Diceros bicornis minor: one gene and its partners. The protein of the gene in region 1 interacts with the protein of each later gene in a pairwise test. Links are inferred from orthologs where the notes say so. Each region holds a gene or a part of one and is shown on either strand. Other genes may lie near its edges.

Region 1 (6,918 bases):
ATTGGGGAGGGGGTGTAGATCGGGCAGAAGGAGGTAGGTGGTCCCAGCCATACTCCCAAAACTGGGTTTTCTAGTTTGAACTTCTCCACGGCCTAAGAGGCTTAGGGCTGGAATGTCCCAGAGAGTCATGGATGGCCCCCGGGGCAAGCCATGGCACATTCCTTCCCTTTCCCTAAAATCCCTTGATTCTGGTGCAAAGATTAGGACAGCGTACCCCCAAGAGTAAGTAGAAGGATGCCCCCCATGAGGACCCTCTAACCACCGTTCCCAAATAAAATTACTAAACCATTCTTGGGTACAGAGTCTGTTTTGAGGGAGCCCAGCCTCAGGAAGGGTCCCTACGGTGACTACTTCAACCCCACAACAGCCCAGGCTCCTCTATTCAGCCCAGCCAGGACTCTAAGCCCCAAATTTCCTGAAAACCACAGACTCATTGCTGGCTTTGTGTGGCCTGGCGGGATGGGAACTAGGGCACATGATTCCAGCTCCAGTAAGCCACCTTCCCTCCTCTCCTCACGTCCCATTGTCAAGGGAGCAGGAGGCTGAAGCAGCGAGCAGAGATTGCTGTGTCCCATGTCAGACATGGGAACTGAGGACCAGTGCAGGTCAAGCCCTGCCCAAGGTCACACAGCAAAGCTGGGGCAACCCTGAACCCCTACTCTTACTCCTGAAAGACAGCTGCCTCCATCCTGTGTGTGTTTGTGTGTGACGTATCTGTGAGTGTGCAAGAAACCCCTACCCTGTCTGGGATAACAGCCAACAGAGGTGTGGCTGGGGGAGAAGAAAGAGGGCACCAGGTCCCTTCTCCAGCCAACGCCCAGGATCAGGCCAGGGCCTCCTCTCGATCAATCCTTCCTCGCCCCCTGCTCATTCAGCGGTGCCCAGGGCCAGTAGAACAGGCTCCCCTGGGCAGTCCCCACTAGTCTCAGCCCTTCTCTGGGGCTCAGAGCCCCTGGGGATACGGAGCTTCACCCGCAATAGTCTGAGGGCCTTTCCATCCACACATCTGGCATCAAGATTTCCAAATATAGGGACTATTGTGACTGCCTGGAGCACTGCCAGAGACTTGGGTCCAGAGGAGCACACAGCAGGTGCTCAATAACTGCATTAAATGTATCAACAGTGAGGGATGCAAGCCCCTCAGAATGAATAGCTAGAGCTACAGAGTCACAAAACAGTCCCCATCCATGGAAGGTCTGACTCTTTAGTCCCTCTAAAGAGTGGAGGGCTGTGACCCTCAGCCTCTGGATGCCCAGGGCAGACCATTCATTCTGTGTCCCCACCCAGAGGGGCACTGTGCTTCCTACCTCGGCCTGGCACTTGGTAGATTTGGAACACACCTCCTATTCCCTACCAGCCAGATTTTGTGCCAAACAGCATCAGCGTTCTGGGACCCAGAGGCCTGGCTGTGTGTATACATATGTGACTGTACTCAGCACTCCCATGTGTGGGTACAGTGAGTACGTGTGTGTGTGTACACAGCACACCTGTGTGGGTATGCAGTACGTATGTGTGCGTGCATGCTCCCGTGGTGCCCTGTCTGTCTGCAGGCAGGCTGGGCGGCATGCTGTCCTGTCAGGGTAAGGCAGCTACACAGAGGCGGTGTGTGAAGGGGCGCTCCCTGGCATGCTGCAGCACCTGCATATCTCCTTGAAAGGAGCCGCTCCAGGAGACAGCCAAGAAATGTGGTCAAAGATGAGGCTGAGGGCAAATGCTGGGCAACCCTACTGCCCCGTGTACCCCTCCCGCCATCTCCACACACAAGACTATTTTCATCCTGGGGGTCTCAATTTAGAGAAACTTCCCTTTGGGAGGAAAGGGCAGGAGTTGCTGAGCCTCCCCAAACTCCTGGGATGCATCCTCCCTCTGGCCTCAGCCTCAGACCCTGCCCGTGGTCACAGGCACTCTTGAGAGTGGGCGAGACCCTAAGGAATTGTGCCTTCTCTCCATGGCCTAGAGCTGGGGACCTTGTGCTGAGCCAAGGGACTGGGAAGCAGGCCTGGTTCCACCTTGCGCCCGCCCCTGCCCCTGCGATCCCCAGCAAGAAGCTGAGCCTGGGGCCTGGGTCCCTCCCTCTGATGGGGAGCCAGGGTGAGGGCTCAAAGGCAGTGCCTGCAGAGCATCGCAGATGCTGACAGCCGCCGGCAGGGTTAGTCCAGAGCAGAGATCTCCAGGAGGGATGAGGATGCACTGGGCCCTGGCTGAGGCACTGGGCCTAGAGAGTAGGGCAGTGCTTCCACCCGAGACTGTTGTCCTGCCCAGCACTGCTCCTGTCTGGTGGAGCTGGTCAGCAGGTGAGGAGCAGAGGGCAGCCTGGGGTCCAGCTATGGTCAGAGGAACAGGTCAGGGCCGCACCCTACTACCCCAGCTGTCACCTATTTGCTCGAGACTCTGAGGTCTCAGGGCCAGTTAACAATTGTTGAGCAAAATCCTTCAACAAACTTCACTGAAGTAGGAGGATTCAAGGAGGGGATCATTCTTAGTGGTGGGGAGGGGACCGTCATTGCCTGTGCCGGTGGAGGGCCCACTGTGCTGCAGCTTAGCTACCACTGTATGAGAGAGAAGCTCCAAGACCATAGGCTTCCTGGGCTGCAGGCCCACGGTTGGGAAACTGCAGTCACCTGGCCTGCCAGGCCTATGCCTACAGCTTGGGAAGCCAAACAGAGTCCCCAGCGGCTGCAAACCTGCCCTGAAGGGGGCAGAGGCCCACCCTGTGGCTGCCAGGGCCTGCCTGAGATTGGGCCTGACCACTGAAGGTGCAAAACAAGGGGAGAGAGCCCTACAAAAGAGGCTGTGGGGCCTGGCTGGGCTCTTGGGGTCTCCTGCTGCACTCGCCAGCGGCCTGGAGCCAACAGAAACGTTTCGTCTGATTAGAAGCCATCAGTTCTATCCCAATCCCGGAAAATTGACTGTGGTGCTGAGGGGAGGCCTGAGAAGCAGCCTTGGGGGAGAGGGTCCAAGCTAATTAGGAGGCAGCATCCGGGGGCCCATTAGAGCGCAGGCTGCTGTCACTCAGCCGGGCTCAGGTCCCGGGAGAAGAGGCCGAGGAAGGAGGGGCCTGCGGCCCCTCGACGAGGACTCGGCTGGGAGCCGCCAGAACGGGCCCCGGGCTCTGCCCCCGCCCTGGCGCTGGCTCGGAGGCGCCCGCTCGGTGCGATCCTGCTCGGTGAACGTTCACTCATCCTGGGCTGTTCTCACCGGGGACTGGGGACTTCGAGGCGGCCCAGACAGGAGTTGATTCTGAGCGAAACAAGTCATTTGGGGCTTGAGGTGGGCACGAGCCGCGCGGGACTTGCAGGCCAGATGCGTTTCTTTTGTGCCGTGGAGGGAGAACTCGGTGTGTCACCGGGAAAGGAGGGAGAGGCGCGGCGAGGCCGCGGGGGGGCGGGGAGGCGGCGGGAAGGTGGCTGCGGAGGGGGAGGGCGCGGGCGAGGCAATGAGGGAGGGAGGGCGGCAAAGAGGGCGCGGCGGCGCGGGCGGCTCGGGACTGGATTCCGCCCGCGCTCCCTCGCTCGCTCGCTCCCTCCTCCCCAGCCCCCTCCCACCCAGGCCCACCCCACTCACCACCCCTGGCGCGGGGATTGCTGGAACCTGGCGGTGCGCGCTGTCGCTTTAAGACAGACTCTGCTGGCGCCGTCCGGAGCCTTAGAAACCGGCCCCGAATCGGGAACCGGAGCCGGAGCCGGGGCCGGGCGGGCGGCTGAGGCCCGAGCGGCGCAGCGCAGCGCGGAGCGCGAAGCCGGGCGCCCGGTCGCGAGAAACCGCTGCCGCTGCCGCCCGCCTGGCCCCGCAGCCCCGGGCGGTCCATGGGGCCGGCGCGGCGTCTTTGCGGCCGCGGGCAGCCCTGGGGGGCAGCCGCTTAGGCGCTGCGCTCTTGTGTCCGCAGGTCGCAGCCAGGGCGGCCGGGTGCGCCCAGCCCCGGCCCCTGGAGCGCCCGCCGCGGTCCGCGCCTCCATGGACGCCTTCAAGGGGGGCATGAGCCTGGAGCGGCTGCCGGAGGGGCTCCGGCCGCCGCCGCCGCCGCCACCGCCGCACGACATGGGGCCGGCCTTCCACCTGGCCCGCGCCACCGACCCCCGCGAGCCACTCGAGAACTCCGCCAGCGAGTCGTCGGACACGGAGCTGCCAGGTAAGCGAGGCTCCCCGCGAGGCGCGCACAGAGCCTGCCCGGGCGCAGGGCGCGGGGAGCCGGGAGCAAGGCCTGGCTCCCCGCGCCGCACAATCAGGCTCCCCCTACGCCCCAGGAGCCTCAGGACCTTTCCTTTTCTCATTTTCGATCCGACGCTAAACGCGGAAATTTACACGCTTTAAGAAGCGGAAATTTAGTGCTTTACGAAGGCACTTCCACTTGGTCCCCACGCACCGAGACCGGCAGAGGCACGAACCTACAACCAGAGGGTCGGACTGACAGTCCCTCTTGATCAGGAGCAAATAGAACAGGGAAAAAAAAAGTTAGGTTTGCGCAATTGGGTGCCGAGGGGCCGCTCAGACCGAAGGATAGGAGAAGTTCGAGAAGGTAATGGAATGGCAGGCGAGAGAAAGTGCCCAGAGAGACAGAGAGGGGACAGACACCCCGACAGATAGTGGGCGACAGATTGAGGGGAGAGACCGAAGAGCAGGGGTGGCTGGAAAAGTCAGAAAAGCAAACTGGGGGGAAGAAAAACCACCTCAAGTATAAGGAAGCCTGAGACAGGACCAAGGGGCGCGGCCCTGCTCTGGGCAGGACCCCCTAACCGAGGGCTCCCGGCCCCACGTGCGCCGCCGAAGCCCGGAGCCTCCAGGCCGCCCAGCCAGGGCCCCGACTCGGGTCGGGCACGTCTCCCTCCGCGCTGCCTTTTTATGCGAGCTTTTTCCCCCGGTCGCGAGCTGGGCCAGCGGGTGGGCGGCGCGGGCAGTGGGGCCGCTAATCCCCGGCCCGGCCTCCCCGGTCTCCGAACCGCTCCCGCGCTCGCCGTCCTAACTCGGCGTAGCCGCCGACCTCCCCACTCCCCGGGCCGTGGGCGCCTCTTCTGCCTTCATTTCTTAATCCACCACTGAGTGCTTCTCTACGCGTTTTTAATCTCTATTTGTTTCTGTTTTGCATCCCTAAGTGACTTTCTCTAAGAGGTTCTGTTTGCTTGGTTAAAAAACAATCGACGCTGGACTGTACTTTTGTTTTCATAAGTTTTAAGCGAGGCCTTTGGTTGGTTTTTATTTTTAAAACCTAGAGAAATATATCGAGATTTCTTCTTAAAACCAAACCTATGAGGATAAATTTAAAATTTTAACTGTATTTTTCGATATAGAAAGAATTACTATACCAGGTATATTTCTCTGGAATTTAAAATATCTACGTGCAACATTATTCTTCGGGAGATTTTTACAAGTCAATCCAAAATGGCGCGTTTCTCCGGGATTTTCTCAAAATCCATTTATAGCCGTGTTATTTTGGGAGTTTATCTAACTATAGTGTTGTATTTCCCTATATTTAAAAATTATCTCTAAAAGGGCGTTATTGGGAAAGGGTTAAAAAAATCTATCCACAACAGTACATTGATTTTTTTTTAATCCCAGAGAAATAAATGCCTGTGTCTGCCTGAAGTTTATGCACGTACAGCACCGTAGTACAGCACCGTAGTTAGCTGTGTGTTTGTACGGTTTCTGGCTTCTTAATTTGCATTTGCTCTGTGTTCCTACCTGCCTATTTTTAAGAGTTTGTGACCATTCCTGTGCTTTTAGGCATAGAGCTCTGGGCTTCTCTGGGCTTCTGTGTTTTGATTTTAAATTCTTTTTCTTTATGTTTCAATGTTTCTATGACTGGGTATGCTTTGTGTAGCTTCAAAGAGAGAGAGGCTAGAATCCCAGGTCACCTAGACAGAGTCTGTAGGTCTGGGCTGCCGCCGGAGGGATTTTCTAGGCCTTGGGACTTGAGGCCTGGAGCAAAGGCAGAGAAGCCGGCTGCGCCATGGCAGCCCAGTGGGGCTCCCACACAGCCCTGGGGAGTAGAGAGAGGAGGGGCTGCAGGTCACTGCCTGGCTCTTGCTCCACCGACCTGCTAGCTTCAGGCTAGAAAGAGCTAATCCTAGTTCAGAAAAGCAGAGATCGCCTTAGATTTAGACCCCCAAGAGCCCGCAAAAAATCGTACATTTGCGGGTGACCTCAGCAGTAGGGCTCGGGCCTGAGCGGAGCTGCGAGAGCAGGCCCTGCCCAGCCGGGAACCTAGGCCCGCGGCTCCGGCTGCTGGGCTCGTCTCTGGAGCACCCCTGACCAAAGGTGACCACTGACGACCAGGCACTCGGCAGGCTCTTTCCAGTGGGGACAATTCCAGGGCCCCTGGCGGGAGGGCCGCCAGCGCCGATGGCCGGCGCTTCGGTGGAGCCGGGACGGGGTGCAAAAGGGCATAAGCCCGACGTGACCGGCTCCCCGTCCTGCCTGCTTCAGAGAAGGAGCGCAGCGGGGAACCCAAGGGGCCCGAGGACAGCGGTGCGGGCGGCGCGGGCTGCGGTGGTGCGGAGGACCCTGCCAAGAAGAAGAAGCAGCGGCGGCAACGCACGCACTTCACAAGCCAGCAGTTGCAAGAGCTGGAGGCCACGTTCCAGAGGAACCGCTACCCCGACATGAGCATGAGGGAGGAGATCGCCGTGTGGACCAACCTCACCGAGCCTCGCGTGAGGGTGAGCGCGGGGCGCGCGCCTAAGGGGAGCCGCGCACAGGGCTACCGGCTGCCTCTGCCGCAGCCCTCCAAAGCTTAGACCTGAGCTCAGACTTTCACACTTTGTCACCACTCAGACCTTCTCCCTCCCTCCACCGGAGGAGATTCCACCTTAGGTCCCGGGCCACTCGGCTGCGGCTAAACCCTTTGGCCGCTAGCGTCCCTCGGCTGCTGCCACCTCGGATCCCTCTGACCCGCATCCTACCTGATTGTCAGGCTCTACTGCA
Region 2 (7,526 bases), on another chromosome or scaffold:
AAAGAATGGGGCCTTTATGGAGCTGCAGGGAGCGGGATCTTGTGGAAGTTCCCCTGTGAAGTAGGAGACAAGGTCAGTTGCTGGTGAGGGAGGAAAGGGATAAGAGTGGGGAATAGGAGACAGGAAGAGAGGGGTGAAGGTTTGGGAAGACTAATGTGGGGAACTGGAGAAAAACCTGATCAGTGGGTAGTGGAGGATTCAGGTACAGTTGGAAGCAGGAACGCAGAGAAGCAGAGAAGCAAAATACTTAGATTAAGTGGTGATGGGAGGGTGTTGGGGAGGATGATCAGGAAAATAAGGTAAAAGAAGGCTTGAGGATGTGGAGGGAGCTGACCATACAAATAGGGAAAGAAAGCGAAGCCAGGAAGCAACTGACAAGTTGAAAAATGGAGCAGTCAAAGGAATAGAAGTCTCTAATGACGTCTAGTAGCAGATGTCGTGGCGGGAACTAAAGCACAGGAGGCAGTGGCCAGAGCTGCAGAGCACTGCAGCTTTCAGATGAGAGCAGCTGTGAGTGATCACAAGGGCTTGGAGTAAAGAAGACTGTGGGCCAGGGGCCAAAATCAGTGAATGTAGGTGAGTGACTAGGAAGCCCATAGATGATTCTTATGGGGAGTAGGAGATCCTGACACTAATGGGCTCTGTGATCCTAGGGAAGTCACTTTCCCTCTCTGGGCCTTAGTTTCTGGATCTGTAAAATAGGAATAATCTCTGTGCTACCTGCTCTCTATGAGAACCCAAAGAAATAATCAAAGTGCCTTGTCCTCACCTAATCCTCCTGGCTGGTTTCCTTCCTCTTCCTAGATCACAGCTCCTCTATCTCTTGCCCTTCTCGGGGGCAGCTCTAGGGGCTGCTGCTGTCCCAGGGGCATCGCAGAGAACTGCAGCCTCTGGGGCAGAGAGAAAAGGCCAGTCTACATTTCCTCATGTTTCGGGAGGTCGTCTATCCTTCGAAGGGAAGGAGTGCAACCTGGACTGCTGGAATTCCTGGGGAAAATTACAGGTTCAGTGTCTGCTCTGTGGAGGAGAATGGACTTTCTAATAATAATATGGCTATACGAAAGGGATCATTCCTCTCTCCGGAAGTAAAGAGTTCTTCATTCCTGGTTACATGCAATTAGCACCACGATGACCATGCACTAAAACTAATTCAATTAATAGTCAACAATAGAGGAATGGTTACTATGATAAACTCATTCAAGGAAGTATTATGCAGCCATTACAAAGTATATTTACATAGATTATGCACTAACATGGAAAACTGTAAGTGCAATAAGAATATGCAGCACATATGTATTATATATTATGAAAGGAAATGAAACACCAAATGTTATTCATTCCACAAATAATTATTGAGCACCTATATGTGTCAGGCCATGTGCTAAAAAAACCCTAAAGATACAGTGGTGACTTTTGTCCTGTGTGTTAAACGTCAGACTAAAACTTACCTGGTGTGAGTATATTAGCATTTTATGACCCTATGTTTCTTATGTCAAAAATATATATTCCAGCAGACCTAAGTAAACTTCTGACAGAGCCATGACGCATTTACCTTGTCCTTCAAACCTGACTCACTGAAAATGCCAGGCACAGACCTGACCGTATCACACACTTTTTCTGATTAGGCAAGAACGCTGGATACACATTCCTTTGCTTATTAGTCGGTGCGGCAAAGATAGGACACTCCCGCCCCGGCTCGTAAAGAAAAACGCAAAAAACGCCCTGAAAACAAACTGCAGAATCTTTCCTCTTGGGGTGAATGTGTTAACAAGAACATAAATCATGGAGGAATTGCCCTTAGATGAGTAAGTTAAAATCTTTGAAATGCTTAAGGGGCTGAAACTGCCCTTGTGGGGAAAACGCTGGGTATCTATCCCACCAGTTAAAAAAAGACCCCCTTCCACTTCACCGCCAGCCGCGGCAGTCTCGCGTCCTCCACCCGCCCCTGCCCTCTGGTACTCCTAAGGCCTTGGACTCCAGGTTAGCGGTTGTTCCTGGGCCAATCAGCGCTGAGAGCCCTCAGAACCCCGCCCTCCTCCTGCCCAATGCGGTGAAAGGGTCTGCAGTCTCAGAGCCGCCCTCGCCCCACCCATCGGTGGGGCCAGCCCTGAGTGGGAGGAGCCACGAGAAAGCCCCGCCCACTCAGGAGCCGCAACCGCGGCGCGGCGGGTGTTGTGAGTCAGAGCCAATTGGAGGGCGTTCCTCTTTGGGTCCTTCGGTCTTGTCGCTGTAGTGAGAAATTACCTCAGAGCGAAACTAGCTCTGGGATCCCGCGGAACAGGGACTTGCACGCTGACTAGAGGACGAAGCCAGCGGAGTGGAGGAAGGGCCCTCGAGTTGGCGTCGGAAGCCAGTGGGATGAAAAGATCCTAGCGCTGCGGTGGCGGGGCGCCAGCGCAGCGGACTGTGCCACCGTCCGGGCGCAGGGCCGGCGCGCGGACCCCAGAGCGCCCCCCGGTGGGGCGGCAGCGCGCTCCCGGCCTGCGGAGCCAATGGCCGCGCTCGCCCGCTCTCGCGGCCCCGCCTCGGGCCGGCCGCCGGCCGCTGAGGCTCCCGCGGTGGACGGAAGATGGCGGCCGCGGCGGTGCTGGCCGCCGGGCTGCGCGGGGCGCGCAAGGCTGTGGCGGCCGCGCAGGTGAGCAGTGGCGGCGGGGGCGAGGAGGGGTCCCGCGGGGTCCGACGCCCTCCGGGGCCGCCTTCCTCCCCGGCTGCCCAGACGGCGCATCCTGCGGCCTCGCGGAGACGGAGCCCGAGCGCCCGGCAGGGACGCTGCCCTTGCCGAGGCGCAAGCTCCAGGGCTGTGCGGCAGGCCGGATGGGTGGTCGCGGCAGCCGCTCCGAAAGCCCTGCTGCGGGGGAAGCGAACGGGCGCCGAGAGCGGGACGGGGTCAGCGCGGCAGCCTGTGCAGCCCCGCTGACCGGGCGCCCGCCCCGCCAGCCCCCGCGGCGCCACTGCAGGAGTGTGCTTGCTCTCCCGGAGCCCGCCGCCGCCGCCTTGGGCCCGGGCCCTCCGCGGGGCGCTGGTGTTAACCTCTCGTTTCCCCACTCGCCGGAGCGGCTCCAGGGGGCCTCCCACCCTCGTCTCCCTCAGTGTGGCAGCACTGACCAGCCTTCTCTGAGCCCCTGGCAAACTGGGGCTTCCCTACTCTCAATCCCCTGGCGCTGGAGTTGCTGAGTTCACTTAAATCTTCCCTCCACTGATTCAAGAGACTGGAGTTAAAATTCACTGTAAGAGGTCAAATGTGACACCCGGACGCCCTCGTGTCAAACAGAGCAATTGTATTAAAACCTGAATAAAACAAGTAACACGGCTTAAAGATCAGAAAACAAGTAATGGAAATAAGTGGAAACTTATTAACAAGGTGAGAGTAAATGGAAGGAGCTCCAAGTGGTCTTAAGAGGTGATGCAAATCACCCCCTTTATTTTATAGTTGAAGCCGAGAGAAGGGATTTATATAAGATATTTCAACGGTAAAATAGGAACTGGGACCTAAATCTCCAGGTTCTCTTTCTGGATCCTTTCCCCTGAACAGATTTTTATTTTACCTGCGATCCCTGAGAGTACATGGGAGAGCTATTGCCAACTCCTTCCCTGGGGTGTGTCTGACCCACCTTCAGGTCCGAGGAGCTGCAGGTGTGACTGATGGGAATGAAGTGGCCAAGGCCCAGCAGGCAGCTCCTGGGGGAGCAGCCCCAACCATCTTCTCCCAGATCTTGGATCGAAGCCTCCCAGCTGACATTCTGTATGAGGACCAGCAGGTGGGGTGCCCTTAGGACCCATCCCCTTAGGAATTTCATAGATACCATCCAGCTTGTTGAAGTAACATGGTGGCCTCTGGCCTGTCACTGCTCCCAGTGTCTCGTATTCCGTGATGTGGCCCCTCAGGCTCCTGTGCACTTCCTGGTCATTCCTAAGAAGCCCATTCCTCGGATTAGCCTGGCTGAAGAAGGAGACCAGCAGGTGGGAAGAACAGGGCAAAGTTTTGGCTGGGGGGAGCCCTAGACTTAGCTAGAGGTTTTGCTTCTTGAGAATGAAGCCATCTGTTTCTCTCCCCTTTGCCTGTAGCTTCTAGGACACCTTCTCCTTGTGGCCAAGGAGACAGCAAAGGCTGAGGGGCTGGGAGATGGATACCGACTTGGTGAGTGACTTTTGGCCCTTGAGCCCCTCACCTATGAATTCTCATACCTGCCCCTCAATGTGATCGTCATTCTTTGACCTTTCCCATGATCCCAGGATCCCATGATCCCCTAACCCCAAGCTCCATTTCAGTGATCAACGATGGGAAGCTGGGTGCACAATCTGTGTATCACCTGCACATTCATGTACTTGGGGGCCGACAGCTCCAGTGGCCTCCAGGGTGAAGCTACCAACTGATGAAGGACCCCAGGCCCAGATGCTTGGTTGGGGTGGGGAAAAAGGGACCCTGTGATGCTAATAAACTTGCTCTTTCTCAGTTTTGGATTGCTGTTTTAAATACATGAAGACATACCACAAATGGGAAAGAAAACTGATTTGAGGCTATGATTCTCCTTGACTATGGCCTGAGTGAGACACTAAAGAGGGCTACCCTGTAGTTGAAGGAGCGTTTGCGTATATAGATCTTAAGTCCTCATAACTAGTGGTCCACCTGGGACAAGCTCTTAGAAAAGTAGCAGTAGGAATAAGCCTGAATGTGTAGAAGAGTCTGAAACCCAGGAGTGAGAATTATGCAATCCTGACCCTTATTCAGATGCCAAGACAAATTCTAAGGGGGTCTGGAGGAGGATGGTCAATGTGATGGTCTTTTATTGGAGAAGTAATCACACCAAAAAAGCTGCTACCCTTTTACTAATCCCATGTCTCACCGTTTTGCTTTTAAGCTGTTGTCTGACGTATTTTCATCCTTAAAAATTTTGAGAAGACTCCCTCCACTTTTGAGAATGAACTAAGGAAAACTACTGTTGCCCTCACACAAACACCAAGTAGGCTTTTGTCTGATGCCACAGCCCTGTGCCTGTCTCCAACACAAAGAACCACTTTAGAAAGTCGCCAAGAACCGTGCTTGGGTGTGGAGGGCGAGGCCATAGGCCAGCGGAACCTTAAAAGCCGGGCTGAGGCGGATTGGAGTCCGGACGGAAAGCGGGACTTCCAGACCGCACCAGGTTTACGACTTCCGCCCCGCAGAGAATTTGCCTCCGAGTCCGCCCAGCTCTCGTTCTGCGCAGTCTCTGGAATTGTTTGCCATCTCTATGGCAACCCGGTAGCTGGTGTCTGAAGATGGAGACAGTCGAGTGTACCGCGGGGTCGCTGTCGCGGTGAGAGCCGCAGCTCTGGCTGCAGGCATCAGGGGACAAGGAAGGTCGGCGGACTTCCTCTGCTGCGCTTTTGACAACTTGCACACATTCGCTTTCTTTCAGATCTGTAGACGCACAGTCCCGCTCCGAACGACTAGGGCCCGCTTTGGAACCGTTTCCTTCTTCGGATGGCAGTCCTAAGTCGGCCCTGGCAGCCACAACCACAGCAGCTGCCTCCACCGCCAAAGAAGCTGTGTTATCTGCAAAGACACCAGCGCCCTACTCTGAGCAGAGCCTTCTCATGGAGCCCTTTTCTGACAGTCTTCTTGGGGAGCCCAGCACTGGACCCAGCTTTACCCACCAGACAGGCCATGGGAGACTTGGCTTTGAGCCTGCCTATGTTCCCTGTATTGCTCAGGATCCCTGTACTACAAATGATCTTAGCTCTAGCCCTGGCCCTGTTCCTGGCTCCACTTCTGTTCCTGGCCGTGGCTCTGACCCTGGCTGTGGCTCTGGTCGAGGCACTGGTCCTGCCTCTTGGCCTAGTCTAGGCTGTGGCCATGACCCTGAGCACAGCCCCTACACTCGTCCAAGCTTTAGGAACCCCAGGGCAGATCTGGTCCCTCCCTGGGGTCACCACAGCCACTGGGAGCCTCAGAAACAAGAACCCTGGAAATGTTTGCAAGTCTCAGAACCTGGTGCCCGAGGGCTATGGAAGCCCCCTGAGATTGAAGGAAAACATAAGGTCCCCAATGAAACGTTGCCTCGGGGCCAGTGCCTTCTCCACAACTGGGAAGAGGAGGTATTAAGGTTTGAATTTGCTCCCTTTGCTTGCAGGCTGCCCCCAGTTTCCTGGGGGAGTTTATGTTGAGGGTGGGTGCCAGAAGGCATCTCATGGTCACTCAACTTGGGACCCACAGAGAGCCACCAACCACCTGGATCAAGTCCCAAGCATGCAGGATGGCTCTGAGAGTTTCTTCTTCCGACGTGGACACCAGGAACTACTGACCCTGCAGCTACAGTCCCCCATGCCCTTCACCACCACCCAGAAAGACTCATACCAGTCCCTGGGAAACCACCATCAGCCAATTCGAGGTGTGAAGCATGAGAGAATGGGCCATAATGAGTCTATTAGTCAGAGATAAAAGGAAGGAATTTCTGGTGGGGCTGTGGATTGTCGGATGGGTATAAGGGCAAAACCCCATGATTTTCCTTCCTTTTCTCAAATTTTTTTCTTCTGAGCCTGCTTTTTTTTTTTTTTTTGTGAGGAAGATCAGCCCTGAGCTAACATCCGTGCTAATCCTCCTCTTTTTGCTGAGGAAGACTGGCTCTGAGCTAACATCTATTGCTAATCCTCCCCCCTTTTTTTTCCCCCAAAGCTCCAGTAGATAGCTGTATGTCATAGTTGCACATCCTTCTAGTTGCTGTATGTGGGACGCAGCCTCAGCATGGCCGGAGAAGCGGTGCGTCGGTGCGCGTCCAGGATCCCAACCCGGGCCGCTAAGCCATGGGGCCGGCCCCTGAGCCTGCTTCTTAACCAGCCTCCCCTACTCTTGTCCATTTCCTGCCCTCCCACAGGGAAGCGTGAAGCCATGCTGGAGATGCTCCTACGGCACCAGATCGGGTGAGAGGCTGGGGAAAGGGGAAAGGGGAGGAGGAGGACAAAAACCAGGGGAGAATGGCCTTCATACCCCCAAGTTCTGTACAGTAAAGAGGTGCAGGCAGAGCAGGAACCCACAAGGAAGAACTGTGAGGTTGAGTCTGTGACACACCATGACTACCGAAAGGAGCTGATCCAAGTAGGGCCTCCTGCCCCAACAAAGGTGAGAAGCCATCCCACCCTGCTTGTACAGCTAGGCTCTGAAGGGCTGTGGGAAAGCAGCAGGCCCAGAGACAGAGAGAGGCAGCTTCAGGCCAAGAGTTATTCAGTATCTCTCCCTCACAGCCTCACGACTACCGTCAGGAGCAGCCTGAAACCTTCTGGATACAGAGGGCACCACAGCTACCGGTGTGTGAGGGTGATCGGGTGTTGGGAGTGGGGGAAAAGAAGGCAAGGAAGAGGCTGTTCTGTTCTCGCTTGGCGGCGAGCCATGGGATCTGTCCTCATTCTGGCCCTCCTCCAGGGTGTCAGTAACATCAAGATACTGGACATGCCATTCCGGAAGAACTGCAGCTTCTCAACACCAGTGCCTTTGTCTCTGGGGCAGCCTTTGCCCTATGAACCTGAGAATTATTCCCACCAGTTGGGAGAAA
Region 3 (7,115 bases), on another chromosome or scaffold:
AGATATCTGCTCTTTAGGAAATCACCCAGGTTGACTTTACCGAAGATCTTTTTATATTCACGGGCCAGGGTGTGGATGTCTAATTTCACTCAGCTTTTCAAGCTCTACATGGTATTAAAGCTTTCGGAGTGCTTTTACATACACCCAGAGTTCTTAAACCAGGGGTGGGGGATGCAAGAGGATGGTCTATGAGTGGATTTCAAGGGTCTGTGAGCTCCTGGAAATCATATGAAAAACTGCATGCATGTTGGATTTTTTGGGGAATAGGGGGCAAAATTGGTCACACAGATAAGTGAGAAGGAGTATTTAACCTGTCCAAGGATGGGCTTCAGCGCAGTCTGTGAATGCCTTGTTATTCATATGCAAAATGGTACAAGAGTCGACAATTTTCTGATGTAAAGAGTTGATTCCATGGCTTACATTTTCAAAGGGATAGTGACCCCCTAATAGGTTAAGAATCATTGGAATAAAGCAGGCTCCGTGTTATTTATGGGGCTAGGGAAGACTATAAATAGAGATTCCCGTTTCTTCCCACACCTGGTGTTGGCGCACACTTCAAGGTGGCTCACATACTAGCCTGCAGGTCTAAGCTCAGTCTCCATGCCCCTCACATACAGTACCTCAGGCACACAGTCCACTCTCGTGAGTATAGACCAGGACCCTGGTAGGCCCTGGAAGTGGGCCATTTGGGCCAGGAGGTCCAGGGTTCCGAGTACCCAGAGCATGGTCTAGAACTGGGGGGCACAGGTTCCAGGTGAGCACTTCCTGGATGCCCTTGGACTTCTTAGCCAGAAGACATCAGAGTGGGGCCCTCTGCCTGGGTTTAAGGCAGTGCTGCTATTCAGTACTGTTCTTGAAAACAGCCCCTGTGAGGAAGTTGAGGGTCTTGGAAGAGTTAGCTCCATATTAGGGCTGAAGAAAAAGGCCATCCACTGTGAGGATGCAGTGGAACCTAAGTTTTTTGACTTCTAGTCTAGTTCTTTTTCCACTTAATCCACAAAAGGTGTGCTATTATAGGGTCTCTATAAACCTACATTCAGCTCACTTGGCTATGACTATATCTGGTTCTTGGGTTACACAGAACAGATTTAAGGGAAGAAGGAAACGAATTCACTCTGTGGTGTCTCTTCTCTGCTATGTGTTGGATGTAATTAACTAGAAAGAGTGAACATTTGAAAGTTTATGTAAGTTTGGATAATTGGTCTTTATATAAAATGCTGTAGGGGGCTTAAGCATCTTAATTTGTGAAAGAGATGTGTTCCTGGGAAGAGTGGAATGTTCCTAGAATTGTTCTAAATTGGATCTTGTTTAAACTTGGCTTTGGGGGTACTCAACATTTAAAATAAGTGAGATAGAGGGAACATTCTTCATAAAACAAATAATCATCCCTCTAATTGGCCTATTCTGATGGTTTAATTTTAATGATAATATTTAAAGGGAATCCATGCTTGTATTGCTGTGTTGATATTTTTACATCAAGCTGGGTTGTGCTTTAAGGAGCTTATAAGGCGCTTATGGTCAAGCCTATCAGTAAGAATAAAAAATATCAGATTTCAAGCTTTGCTTAGTAGTATGAGTATCAGAAAGAACTGAGAGGCAAAAATCATACCTCCTTTTCCCACATACTTCTCTTCCAATTATGTGCTACCTATTCTCTCCCACCCACTCTACCCTCTCCCAGGATGCAGGCTGTGTCCTCATAATCTGCGGTTTCCTGGCCCCACCCCAGGGAGACAGCTGCAGGTGATTCCCACTAAGTCAGCCTGGGAAGTAGAAGGTGGACAAGGTTTCTGAGACTGGGGAGGGGAGACCTTTCAAGAACAGAGACAGTCATGAGCCAGCCCTGATGGCCTAGCAGTTAAAGTTCCGCGTGCTCTGCTTAGGTGGCCCGAGTTCGGTTCCCGGGTGCTGAACCACACCACTCATCTGTCAGTAACCATGCTGTGGTGGCGGCTCACATAGAAGAACCAGAAGAACTTACAAGTATACACAACTATGTACTGGGGCTTTAGGGGGGAGAAAAAAGGAGGAAGATTGGCAACAGATGTTAGCAAAGGGTGAATATCACCCCCCCCCAAAAAAAGAATAGAAACAGTCAGCAGTGTCCCTATCTTTCCAAGTCAAAGTGCTATTTGCTTCTGCTTCTGCTGTGACTGCTCAGTGCAAGATGGCTTGGGCTATGCAGTCAAAAATGTAGGGAGAGAGAAGGGCCTAGAGTGTCATCAGCCCAAGGGCTGAGGTGTAGAGGCCCTAGAGATACCTCTATGGAGGCAGTCTCTAAAGGGATATCCTTAGACGGGGTAAACACCAAGTGGGAGGCAAGATGGGGTTTCCCATTCTTGGGGGCTTTTGTTCACTGAATGGGGAGTCCCCTTGCCCCTTCTCCTCCCTTTTAGGTTTCCTGAAAGCCCACTGACACTCTCTGTCAACTACATTTGGTTTACAGAGGATGCTGCCCTTTGAGCAGTCTCCAGTTCTCTTGATCAATGAGCAAACCACACCAGTGGGGGAGCTGAGTCACAGGCACATGATATAGGGCTGGGAGGTGAGGGGGACTACACTCCACTGGGTGATGATGTAATCTTCCAGACCCCTGTACCTTTTCTTCTATACTTGAGGTATCTCCCTCTTGGCTTTCCCCACTTCTTCCATATCTTCAAGGATTGTGTATTTCTGTGTTGGAGGAAGGATGTTTCCCTCTGTATACATACATATCAGGGATTGGTGCTTTTATGTGTCCAGGCCAAGTATCTTTTATATGGGTGTCTAATGAGTCCCTGGGTGTGGTGGTGTGAGGAATTAGAAAGCTCAGAAATGGAAAATATTTAACGTTCAGAGAAGCAAATGATTAAAGCTTGCCCATTTGCATTTTCCCTTTCACTCTGACTCATCTTCCCCTCTCCCCACCCTATTATTGCCCCTCCACCAGCCCCACCCATTGGCACACCCTGTCTGATCTAGGAAGGGTTAACTTCTGCCTGCACCCAAGCTAGAATGAGAGGTAGAGGGAAGGCATGTTAGGTCTGGAGGGAGAGAGTAGAAGGCTGGTCTGAACATTTTGGGGTCCTGGAGCCAAAGGGAGAAGCAGGAGTTTAGAGACATAATATTTGAGTCTAGGAGGGGACCAGAATCTAAGGGAGAAGCCTAGGGGGAGCCAGACCATGTCTCGTCATCAGAGCAGCCTACCCGTGCCTGACTTGTATATCTTCCAGTTATTTATTTGGCATATATGACATGCCAGGCACTTATCATGAGTGATTTATCAACACTTGTTGAATGAATGAAAAATTTGCCACAGGATGAGGGATAATGGAATAACAAGAAACAGAAAAAGAAATTTGAGTCTCTCAGACCTCATCCTTTCCCCAGGTTAAAGAGTGGTAAAGTGTGAAAAGAGGGGAAATCTCCAAGGACCTTGACCCCTTGGGCAGGAAGTGAAAGAAACCCTGGAGTCCTGATTTCAGAGAAATGTCATTTGTCATCAACTCAAGAAAAGGAGTTTTTCTCTTCGAAGACCACCGCAAGCCCTTCCTGGGGTTGCCCCCTTCAGCGCTTGATGGGAGGATCTGAGTCACTCACACATGCAGTCCCCAATGGTGGCCCAGATGACAGGGGTCATTCCCACATAGCTGTCAAGGCTTGGTAGTACTAAGTCAGGCATGCTTTCGGCCCTCCTTCACTCTCTTCTTGGAATCTAGATGCTTCAGTCCTTTTTACTTCTCAGGTAGTAGAAACAGCTTCCAGCTGCTAGAGCTCTAATGACACCTCTAAGAAACAGAACTAATACTATTTGAATGACGCTGTGTACTGATAAACCACTTTCACATTCATCATGTCATTTCATCCTCACTTCCACCTCCAAGTGAGGTAAGCAGAGGTTATCCCTATTTCATGGACGAGGTAACGGAGGCTCAGAGAGGTGACTTGCCCAAGGTGATTCAGCTAGAAAATGGTCGAGATGAAACTCAAGTGAGGTCTGATTAGTCCAAAGTTCTTGTTGCCTCAGTTACACTTCTTTGACTGGAGAAGTTCACAAATGAAATAAAGACAGGTCAGGAGGCAATGCCTGGATTCTGGAAGTAGAGGGGGTGGTCTCTCCTGGAGGGGTGAAGCAGAGCCGGGAGTATAAAACCACACCCCCTTGGGGGACTGTGGCAGACTGATACTTGGGACACCCAATGGAAGACTGTGAGGTCAGAGGCGGGGCTAGCTCCAGCGGGGGGGCCCCAGGAGCCCCAACAGCAGTTCAGAGCATGCGGTGTCCAGGAGGAAGCTACAACCGGTGAGTGGTTGCTTCTCCCCAGCTGAGACTTTCCTCCCTTACCCCCCTTTCTGTCCACTTCCTGCCAACCTGTAGCCCTCTTCCTGAGGTGTCCAAGTAGTAATCCTCCCTCCCAGAAGCGTCCTTACTCACAGTGCACCCACACCTAGGAATATGCCTGCTGGGCACAGAGACACTTGGGTCTGTCTCTTGGTAACTGGGTTCCCAGTTCTCTTCTTAAAAGCCAATGTGGTGGTTTTGATGTGTGATAAACTTCTGCCTCGTTAGCTGCTGTCTTTCTATTCTTCACTTTTGGCTCATGAAAAACAAAATTAAACCATCTCCTTATCCTAATATTGAGAGGAAATAGCCTCCTGCTCTACAGTTCCCATGTCCCTTTCTCCTGCTTCCTTGGCAGTCAAAGTCTTCTCCAAAACTTCTCTCCATCCTTAGGTCGGGAGCCTTCTCTCCTGTGGCTTCTGCACCTGCTCTCTTAACTCACTGGATGGGAGTCTTTGGTCTCTTCCAGCTCCTTCTCTGAGAATGTGTTCTAGAAGCTTCAGCCTCAGGGAGATGATCGATTGATGCCTTAGAGCCTGCCCTCCTGCAACTACGACCCTGTCTTGCTGCCCTTTCTGCCTCTCAGGACCCTCAGCTCCACGTGATGGGCTTGTGGGAAGAGGACACTACTAGCTTTCTAAACTCTCCCATGAAGCTGCGTCTTGCTCCAACCCTAGTTGCCTGGGCTGGGTTTTATGGTGATCTCTGTGTCTGGAATGAAGAAAGCCTGGCCTGCTCAGAGTTTTCCCTGCAGAGGGGCTTGGAGAAGAAGTATCAGCATCTGCTATCCTTTAAGTCAGAGACTGCCAATTGGCAGGACCCATTTATACTAGTCTTAAACCCACTACTTGATATAGTTGTTAACTGCCTTGTCCTTGCTCTTTAAGTCCTGAATTTGGTCTAATTTCCATTCTCCCACCACTCCCACCCCCAACCCTGGCCCCTGTTATGATTCTGGATAAGCTCAGGTCCTCTCTTGGGTTAGTTTATTTGCTCCATTCAGGACAGAGAGCTCTGATCCAGAACCAGCAACTCACTCACTCTCCCCTTCCCTCCACAGGCTTGAGAATATGCTGTTCCTCCCTCTCCTTTCTGCCACAGACCCCACACTGTGGCCTTTCTCTCAGAACCTCTGAGATTGGTACCCAGGCAAGGCACAATGCCCCTGTCCCCAACAAGACTGCCTAGCCCCTATGGCTCTGATCGCCTGGTACGGCTAGCAGCCAGGCTCCGGCCAGCACTATGTGATACCCTGATCACCGTGGGGAGCCAGGAGTTCCCTGCCCACAGCCTGGTGCTGGCAGGTGCAAGCCAGCAGCTGGGCCGCAGGGGCCGCTGGGCTCTGGTGAAAGGCATCAGCCCTTCCACCTTTGCCCAGCTTCTATACTTTGTTTATGGAGAGAGCGTAGAGCTTCAGCCTGGGGAACTGGAACCCCTTGAGGAGGCGGCCAGGGCCTTGGGGGTACAGTCCCTGGAAGAGGCGTGCAGAAGGGTTCGAAGGGACAGGGCTAGAGAAGAGCTGGGTCCGGGACTGAAGGAACATCAGGAGGAGCCAGAGAAACCCACAAAGGGTTCTGAGAGAGGAGTAGGGGCCCTTGGAGAGAAGCAGAGACCAGAGAAATTTGTTAGAGCTGGTGGGCGAGAACAGGAAACACTGCAGAAGCACAGGCCACCAAGAGAGAGCCCTGAGATGGCAGAGGCAACGAGGGAGGGCCAGGGAGTGCAGATGAGATTCAAGGAGAAACTCAACCAATTCCCTGTTGGCCATGGGGGAGTAGATGGGAAGCAAGAAGTGATCATGTGGGTGAGGGAGACTCCAGGGGGCTCTGAGGAAAGTCTGCAGGAGTTCCCTGGCCCCCTTCCCCCACCTGCTTCCCTCCAAACCAGCGTCACCCCTAGGCCCTGGTGGGCTGAGGCCCCTTGGTTAGGGGAGGGGCAGCCTGCCCTATGGAGCATCCTGCTGTTGCCGCCCAGATATGGCACCCCCTTCCCCCATAGCACCCCCATCACTGGAACCTGGCAGGAGGTCTGGCCTCAGGACGAGAGGTGAGTGAAGGGCCTCACGGAAGACCTCCCAAGCTGGGAAGGAGTGGCTCAGGAGAGGCAGCGGTGACGGGTGGAAGGGCACCATATCTCTTATCTCTACTGTACATTTCCTGAGCTGGGGACAGGACAAGAAGCTCCCACCAAAGGGGAAGACAGAGCCCAGTCCCTGAGGAGGACTCATGACACCTCCCTCCCCAGGAAGAGATTGGCCACAATCCCAGATTTTGCCAAGGCTGTAACTCTTCCCCACCCCACCCCCAGGATGCCACTGTCCCTAAACCTCCACAAAGGGCTCTGGAGCCAGAACCAAGTGGCCTCCTCCAGCCCAACCCCAGGTAAGCCCCTCACTGCCCTGCATGAACCCTATAATGTGGTCTCTCCCCTGGGGCTGGGGGTCCAGGAATCCAGCCTGAGCAGGGCCCCTACTTCACTCTGCTCCCTCCAGGTTCCCTCCACCAGGGCCCCGCACAGCTCAGCCCTGTGGAGATGGAAGAGTCTGATCAGAGGCACACAGGTGAGGAGGGTGAGGGAGCTTTTGCCTCAGCCCCAGTGTAGCCCCTGATGGCTTGCCTGGGTGTTGCAGTGAATCCAGCTCTGGGATTCCCAGCCCTGCCCTCTTTTGCTTTCTCCGTCCCCACAGGTGCACTTGCAACTTGTGTGGGTCATATGGGCACTGCAGGCCGCCCATCTTGCCAGCACCCCCCCCTGCCCCCTCCTGCTCGGTCCAGGCCCTATTCTTGTTCTGTCT
Region 4 (7,622 bases), on another chromosome or scaffold:
AGCCTGACACAGAGCCTTCTCAGCGAAGGCAGTTGCATGAACAAAGGCAGGGAAGTGGGAACAGCCTGGTGTGTTCCCAGGATAGCCAGCAATTTCATATAGAATTGGGGGAGGGTCCTCATCAAGACAAAAGGCTGGAGAGATCATAAAGGGCCTTGAATGCCATCCCAAGAAGCTCGGACTTTGTCCTGAGGGGGAGCCACTGAAGGGTTTGAAGTGGGATTCGCTAGAGATGTGCTTCTGATGGATCACGGGCTGCTGTATCTAGATGGACTCAAAGGAGAAAGGCAGTCAGAGCTGTTCAGGCAAGTGCCGGCACCTTGACCTAGGGCAGAAGCAGTGTGGGAGCAAAGAAGTGAGGAACAACAAGCGGGACTTGGTGAGGAACTGGTTGTGACGGCTCGATGAAAGGGAGAGTTTCCAGGTGTCTGGCTTGGAAGACTGGTAGGGAACATAGGGGATGTAGTATTTTCAGCGTGTGAGGGGGGTAAGGTGTGGGGGAGGTCATGAGTTCAGTTTTAGATGTGTTCCCCTTGAGGTGCCTATGACATCTTGAGAGGGCAAGCACCCGGCAACTGCTGGCTCTGAGGGTCTGGAACTCAGGAGAGTCTGGGCCAGAGAGATTGGGGAGTCACAGCTCAAAGCCAAGGGAGTGGCGAGATACTGAGGGGGAAGAGGAGAAGCAGAGGCTAAGGCAGCAGAACCAACATTTAAGGAACGGGGAGAGGAAGAGGGACCAGCCTGTGAAGGAGACCAAAAGGGAGTGGTGAGAGTGGCAGAGAAAACCAAAACAGGACAAGGGGGGGAGTGGTCAGCATGGCCAACTGCAGCAGAAGAATCAGGTTGCTGAGGACTGGAACTGCCCTTGGGTTTCTTACAGCGTGGTGGCCTAAGGACTCGGGCTGCCTTCTTGCTGAAAACAACTAAAAATATTAAACAAAATATATATTTTAAAAAACATATATTTTTTAAATATATAAATATTTTTTTAAATATATATTTTAAAAAAACAACAAATGCTGGAGAGGCTGTGGAGAAAAGGGAACCCTCATTCACTGCTGGTGGGAATGCAAACTGGCACAGCCTCTATGGAAAACAGTACAGAGATTCCTCAAAAAATTAAAAATAGAAATACCTTATGATCCAGCTATCCCACTACTGGGTATCTACCCAACGAACCTGAAATCAACAATCCAAAGAGGCTTATGCACCCCTATGTTCATCGCAGCATTATTCACTATAGCCAAGACATGGAAGCAACCCCAGTCTCCCTCGACTGATGACTGGATCAAGAACATGAGGTATATGTCCACAATGGAATACTACTCAACCATAAAAAAGACAAAATCATCCCATTTGCAAAAACATGGATGGACCTGGAGGGTATTATGTTAAGTGAAATAAGCCAGAATGAGAAAGACAAACACCACATGATTTCACTCACAAGTGGAAGATAAACCAACACAGGGACAGAGAGAACTGTTTGGTGGTTACCAGGGGCAAGGTGGGGGGTGGGCACAAGGGTGAAGGGATGCATTTATATGGTGACTGACAAACAATGGTGTACAACAAAAATTTCACAATAAAGAAAAAATTAAAAAATTAAATAAATAAAGGGGCCGGCCTGGTGGCGCAAGCGGTTAAGTGCGCGCGCTCCGCTGCGGCGGCCCGGGGTTCGCTGGTTCGGATCCCGGGCGCGCACCGAAGTACTGCTTGGTAAGCCATGCTGTGGCGGCGTCCCATATAAAGTGGAGGAAGATAGGCACCGATGTTAGCCCAGGGCCATCTTCCTCAGCAAAAAAAGAGGAGGATTGGCGGATGTTAGCTCAGGGCTGATCTCCTCACAAAAAAAAAAAAAAAAAAATTAAATAAATAAAAAAGAAAATTTACAGAAAAAAAAATTAAATGCATCTATGAGCTGGCAAACGCAAGAAATATTCATCCCAAAAATATAAGTGAAGGCAGGAAGCTAAAAGGTAAGCAACGCTCTGTAGTTGGCTTTCACCTTGAGAGCAGTTTCCTTACTCGATGAACCTGAACACTGGTTCCCTGAGCTTATGGTAGAAAGTCTACTCAGAAACTTCTCCATCAGGCCAGAATCCCAAAGGGCTATGCCCACACTTAAGGGTGAACTGGAAATAAACCTGCCCCTCCTCTACCTAACCTCTCTCCACAGGACTCCAAAGAAGTTTGCCTGCATTTAACCTCAGTGCTAAGTGGAAGAGTAGAAAATCTCCCCTGAGAACTCTCAACTACAAGCAGGCCCTCATCTGGTTTTGCAGACCAAATTCACACTCTTTTGGAAGGCTGAAAAACCTCAAACTGAGAAGTTAATGTCAAGGACATAGGCTGCTGGTGGTTCCAAGTGACCCACAGACGCTCCTTCTCCTCCTCTCCTGGGCTTTGGAATGCTCTCTCCTGAATCTGGAGACCCCTCCCAGGGTTGTCACAGGTTCTGGCCCCTATATGTCCTATTCTTGTCCCTCAGAGAGAAGAACCTGTCTGGAACTAGCTCCCAAAGATTCATTCCCCACTTGGCTCTAAGCTATCCTGGATTGCCATCCACATCTCCTGGAAGTCTTCTTTGGTCTGGCACCCTGAAATGCCCCAACCCTCCCCAGGGCCTACTTCAACCCATCTGTCCCAGGTAATGTTTGTGAAGCATGTTCAGGAGCATTGTTGGTGAGACTTGGCTTCTTCCTCTGGCAGGGGAACCCCCAGGCTCAAGAAGAAGCCCTGGATTGGAGGCAGGAAGAAAACTCCCATTGACCAAGTTGTGGCCTCTGGGTGGAGCCCTATTCATGTACCATCTCAATTTGTCCTTTGCTGGAAGAATTACTGTTCTCATTTGTGTGTGTGTGTGTGTGTGTATGAGGAAGATCAGCCCTGAGCTAACATCTATGCCAATCCTCCTCTTTTTGCTGAGGAAGACCGGCTCTGAGCTAACATCCGTGCGGAACTTCCTCCACTTTATATGGGACGCGGCCACAGCATGGCCTGACAAGCGGTGTGCCCAGGATCCGAACCCAGGCCACCAGCAGCGAAGCGCGTGCACTTGACCACTACGCCACGGGCCAGGCCCCAGTTCTTATTTGTTTGAAGTGAGTTTCAGAAGAATTCGTGGTCTTATGGCCAGAAAGAGTCAGAGAAAGGTTTTGAACACAGGCCTAAGTCCAGAATTTGTGCTCTCAACCCTCCCCTCCCCCTTCCACAGTGACATCTCCAGTAGGCATCAGGGCCAGGGCATTTCATACCCCTAGGCACAGACCTGGAGTCAGTTCATTTTGGCTTCCTGTTTCCTCCTTCCAAATTTGCCCTGCCTCTCCTTCTTCAATTTCTCCTACATACTACAGATAGATTTTTCTACAATGCAAATCCAATCACCACTGCCCATTTGAAACCCCATCATGGTTTCATATTGCACTTAGGATAAAGTCCAAACTCCTTGGAGAGCCTACCGCTCCCAACTTGTCTTTCCAACCTCACCTCTGTTACTCATCCCTTCCCCCTTCCTCACCCCACATATATTCCCTTAAACTGAACACAAATTACTAGCTGTACTTCAAAGACTCTTGATAAAGATTTGAATGACTAGATTCCCACTGGACTTTGCTTATCAGCTAATTGAGCCCCCTCCTCCCCAATCTCTATTCTTCAAGCTCAGATCAAGTTTCTTCTCCTCAGGGAAGCCTTTGTCCACCTTCTCAGGCCTCGGGGGCAATTGCCAATGCCAGCTTCCTCCACTGAACACAAGTACAGAGGTCCTTTCCCTTTTGATATTTTTTTCCCTGCTGGGATAGCTGGCGAGAGTTAATAAAAGGACAAGTGGAGAGGTAGGGGTAGGGATGATTGGTCTCTGCTACCCTAGCTGTGTGTCCAGGGACAAGATAAGTTCAACTTGCCCCAACTTCGGTTTGATCTCTGAAAATGGTGAATAAAAAGACCCACCTCAGAGTCGTTGAGAGAACTGGACCTAAAGTGTGCAAAGTACTGTTCCTAGCACTTAGATGTGAACTAGTCTTATTCTAATTACTCATACAGACAAGTTGCTTCCAAGAACTTGATGAAATTCTCCGGGCACTGTCCATGGTATGTGGTCTCCCAGTTGCTCATTGGGTGGTCCTGAGAGCCGTCTTTTCTAACTCGTGAGGCATGCCAAGCCCCCCTGCTCTTCTCAGGGCCGTGCTGATGCCTTCTTCCCAGACAGCCCCTTTCCTGGGCCCCAGGATGCGCGCGCAGTGGAGCACCAGAGTGACTTGTCCCCCGATCCCCAGCCCCCAACACACACATCTTATTCTCCAGCCTGGGCTCCCACCTCCAACCACTGGCACCTTGAGTCACATCCTCCTAGGGAGCTGCCCCGCACCGCCTCCTGCCGGTCTGACTGGGAGTGCCCGTCAGCCGCGGTGGGCCCGGGGTTGACCGGCACAGCGGATCCCAGCCCACCTGCTCCAGGCCTCCGCCGCAAGGCGCCGCCCTCCCGCTAGGGCCATAAGGACTACATTTCCCAGGGTGCACAGCGGCGGGGCCTTGGCTCGGTGGGGACCTCGAGAGGGGCGCCGCTCCGTCGCCTGCTCGGGGGCGCGCGGGCTGGCGCGAGGACAGGATCCGGAATGAGTTTCCGCGCAGTTCCGCTGGGTCGGGCCGTGCCGGGCCAAGGCAGGCGCAGGTGGGGTACGGCGCTTGAGTCGGCGGTGCCAGAGACAGGCGCTCGGGGCAGCCCGCGCCTCGCTGAGGTCCCCGCCTCGTCCCGGCCGGGCCGGCTCGCTTGTCAGTCACTGGGGCGGAGGCAGCGGCAGTAGCGGGGCCGGAGCGGGCTGTGAGAAGAGCGCGGGCCAGGCCGAGCGGAGGGGGTCTGCCACAGCCCCTCAACTCTACGGACTCTTCGCCCCAGACTTGCGAAGCTGCAGCCCCGCGCTTCGCTGGACTCCTCCTTAACCCGTGAAGGGCTCTCTCCTCCGTCACCCCCCCATCCCCGTGACCTCCTCATGGGACCCGAGAGCTCACTCAGATAAGGGTGTTGTGGGTACAGGCCCTCGACCCTGTCACCCCTCACCGGCCCGGAGCTCGGTTTCCCCCACGGGCCTCTCTCCCCTGTGACTCCCTCCTCACAGATTCTGGGGACAGAGCCGTGACCTACCACTAGACCCCCGCCTGGGAACTCCTCACTGACGGCTCCCTCCTCGGGGCCCCCTCTGGGTCTCCTCCTAAGAGCACCACTTTTGGTCTCTGGCAAGCCCCCCACCCCCAAGCGAGGTGGGGAGGCCTCGGCAGCCATGCCGGCCCTGGGCCCCCTGTCACCCCGCCACTCCCTGGGCACCCGAGCCGGGGTCTAGCAGGGGGCCAGCAGCCGAGGGGCTGGGGCAGGAGACAGGTCAGGGTCCACCTCTCTGCTGAGGAGGGAGCAAAGATGGAGCGGCGGGAGGAGCAGCCGGGGGCTGCAGGGGCTGGAGCAGCACCAGCCTTGGACTTCACTGTGGAGAACGTGGAGAAGGTATGAGGGCCCTGGGGTGGGCACTCCAGTGACAGAGCAGAAGTTCTGGGGATTGACACTAATGCCAGAGCCCAGGCCTGGGCTGGGCGCCCGCTGGGATGGTGCCCCCAGAGCACCTGGCATTTGCTGTTCCTCTGGGCAGGCAGGATGGCAGTGTTACAGTGTCCTAATGGGCTATTTTTGGCCTTCCTTAGACTAGAGTCCTTTGTGGATAGATACTCTAGGGTCTTGGGATGCTGCGGGGTGCTGATGGCTTAGACCTCTAGCCAGACTGGCTGTTCTCCAGCCCCATGGGAACTGCATGAGCAGTGCAGTATGAAATCAGGAACCCAGGAGACCTGCAGCTCAGTGCCCAGGAACTATACTGATGCTGAGCCATCCTGGACCTGTTTTGTTGAGCCAGAGGCTCAGAAAATAATCTGGAATTAAAACAACCTGGGTTATGTTTTCACTCTTCCTTGGAGAAGGGTCCTTCCTTTATTGGGTGGAGACCAGACCAGTCCTGGGCAGGCAGGAGAAGGGCTGGCCCGCTTTGTTTTGTGCTGGGTCCAAGGGGTCTGGTCCTGCTGGCAGCCTCAGAGTCCTTCCCTATTCACATGCCCATATAGCTTCCTGCCGTGGCCCTCCCAGTCCGTCTCTTTGAACTGCTTCTCTGGTTCTTCTCTGGGTTCTGTCCCCAGAGGCCTGGGATGAGTGGGGAGATGGGGCTACCTTGCTAGAATGCAGGGAATGGTTGTAGATATTCTTTTGTTATTCTCGAGCCCTGTTTGCTGTAGTAGTGAGGATGATCCCTTCTGCTTCTGTTCTCTGCCTGCCTCAGCATCCCTGAGGGGCCAAAGAAGGGACAGTGGCCATAACTGGCTGTCAGAAGTACAGATAGGGCTAGGCCTCCTTGGATGGAGCCTGCTTAAGGGGTCAGAGTCCTGGCCTCACCCTTCCATCCCCTGGGGCTGGGCGGTGTTGGCATGGTGGTGCACTGTTCCATGTGCAACCAGGGAGATAAACCACTGTTTTCTTACTGTGTGAAGTCTCAGTGGAATTGGGACCTAGGGGGTTTGGCTGCTTAGAGCTCCAGCCTAGGCATTTGCCAGGGCTGTAGGCCAAGCCTTCTCTGGACCAGCTTTCTGGACCCTCATGTGTGCTCCCTGAGGGGTGTTCTCACCCTCCCCTGCAGTATGTCTCTGCCCTAGGGCTGCCTGGCAAAGTCTTAGTCCTGCTCAGATTTCACACTGGCTTTGGTGCCAGCATGTGGAGTGACCTAGGGATGATCCTGGGGGAGCTGAATGGAGCTGTTGGAGTTGATGGGAGCAGCTGTGCCTGGGAGGGTCCGGGCCCCTCAGGCTGTTCCGTGCTCTTCTCAGGCTTAGCTTCATCCCCATGGAGCCATTCGTTCCACCTGGGCCTTGCCCTTTACCTCAGGTGCCTGCCCTTTGGGAGAGCTCAGCCTCCTCCTTTTCTGCTTTCCCGTGGAGGTTCACTGTCTGAATCCATGTTTTGCCATAGGAAGAGGCTATGATAAGGCATGGGCAAGGTTCAGGCTCTCAGGGTATCAGCAGGACCCCAGGCCCAGGAAACACTGCAGAGCCCTGAGCTGTCCCTTCCTGCTCAGCCCTGCAGTCAGAAAGAGAGAGCAGTCTTGCAGGACCAAGTCACGCCCTCTGATCTGGGCTCTGGCAGGATCCAGAGTGGCCAGCACCTGCTCAGTCCTGTGCTGTCTTGCAGGCGCTGCACCAGCTCTACTACGACCCCAACATTGAGAACAAGAACCTGGCTCAGAAGTGGCTGATGCAGGCCCAGGTCTCCCCACAGGCCTGGCACTTCAGCTGGCAGCTACTGCAGCATGACAAGGTGCCTGAGATCCAGTACTTTGGGGCCAGCGCCCTGCACATCAAGATCTCTCGCTACTGGAGTGACATCCCCACTGACCAGTATGAAAGTCTAAAGGCACAGCTCTTCACCCAGATCACCCGCTTTGCCAGTGGCTCCAAGATTGTGCTGACTCGACTATGCGTGGCACTGGCCTCCCTGGCTCTCAGCATGATGCCTGATGCTTGGCCATGTGCCGTGGCAGATATGGTACGGCTCTTTCAGGCTGAGGACTCACCGGTGGATGGCCAGGGCCGCTGCC

What was found.
Region 2: the proteins of PITX1 (region 1) and SPAG8 interact in binary tests that used the Homo sapiens proteins (3 or more experiments, as listed by UniProt). The link is inferred for Diceros bicornis minor from reciprocal best matches to the Homo sapiens genes PITX1 and SPAG8.
Region 3: the proteins of PITX1 (region 1) and ZBTB32 interact in a two-hybrid assay, tested with the Homo sapiens proteins (2 studies listed by BioGRID). The link is inferred for Diceros bicornis minor from reciprocal best matches to the Homo sapiens genes PITX1 and ZBTB32.
Region 4: the proteins of PITX1 (region 1) and IPO13 interact in binary tests that used the Homo sapiens proteins (3 or more experiments, as listed by UniProt). The link is inferred for Diceros bicornis minor from reciprocal best matches to the Homo sapiens genes PITX1 and IPO13.

The regions. Positions count from the first base shown.
Region 1 is NC_080740.1:54,030,490-54,037,407, reverse strand, and holds the start of PITX1 (pituitary homeobox 1), read left to right. Parts: upstream 1-3,904; 5' UTR 3,905-3,954; coding exon 3,955-4,129; intron 4,130-6,420; coding exon 6,421-6,653; intron 6,654-6,918. UniProt on the Homo sapiens protein: Sequence-specific transcription factor that binds gene promoters and activates their transcription. May play a role in the development of anterior structures, and in particular, the brain and facies and in specifying the identity or structure of hindlimb.
Region 2 is NC_080767.1:4,230,745-4,238,270, reverse strand, and holds the start of SPAG8 (sperm-associated antigen 8), read left to right. Parts: upstream 1-4,520; coding exon 4,521-4,545; intron 4,546-5,299; coding exon 5,300-6,075; intron 6,076-6,193; coding exon 6,194-6,368; intron 6,369-6,851; coding exon 6,852-6,897; intron 6,898-6,981; coding exon 6,982-7,096; intron 7,097-7,218; coding exon 7,219-7,281; intron 7,282-7,396; coding exon 7,397-7,526. Other genes in the region: adenosine 5'-monophosphoramidase HINT2, read left to right, coding at 2,570-2,635, 3,618-3,758, 3,856-3,960, 4,066-4,138, 4,234-4,361. UniProt on the Homo sapiens protein: Microtubule inner protein (MIP) part of the dynein-decorated doublet microtubules (DMTs) in cilia axoneme, which is required for motile cilia beating.
Region 3 is NC_080773.1:8,864,752-8,871,866, reverse strand, and holds the start of ZBTB32 (zinc finger and BTB domain-containing protein 32), read left to right. Parts: upstream 1-4,101; 5' UTR 4,102-4,282; intron 4,283-5,381; 5' UTR 5,382-5,480; coding exon 5,481-6,367; intron 6,368-6,565; coding exon 6,566-6,702; intron 6,703-6,812; coding exon 6,813-6,881; intron 6,882-7,007; coding exon 7,008-7,115. UniProt on the Homo sapiens protein: DNA-binding protein that binds to the to a 5'-TGTACAGTGT-3' core sequence. May function as a transcriptional transactivator and transcriptional repressor. Probably exerts its repressor effect by preventing GATA3 from binding to DNA.
Region 4 is NC_080752.1:6,847,582-6,855,203, forward strand, and holds the start of IPO13 (importin-13), read left to right. Parts: upstream 1-4,616; 5' UTR 4,617-5,410; coding exon 5,411-5,494; intron 5,495-7,216; coding exon 7,217-7,622. UniProt on the Homo sapiens protein: Functions in nuclear protein import as nuclear transport receptor. Serves as receptor for nuclear localization signals (NLS) in cargo substrates.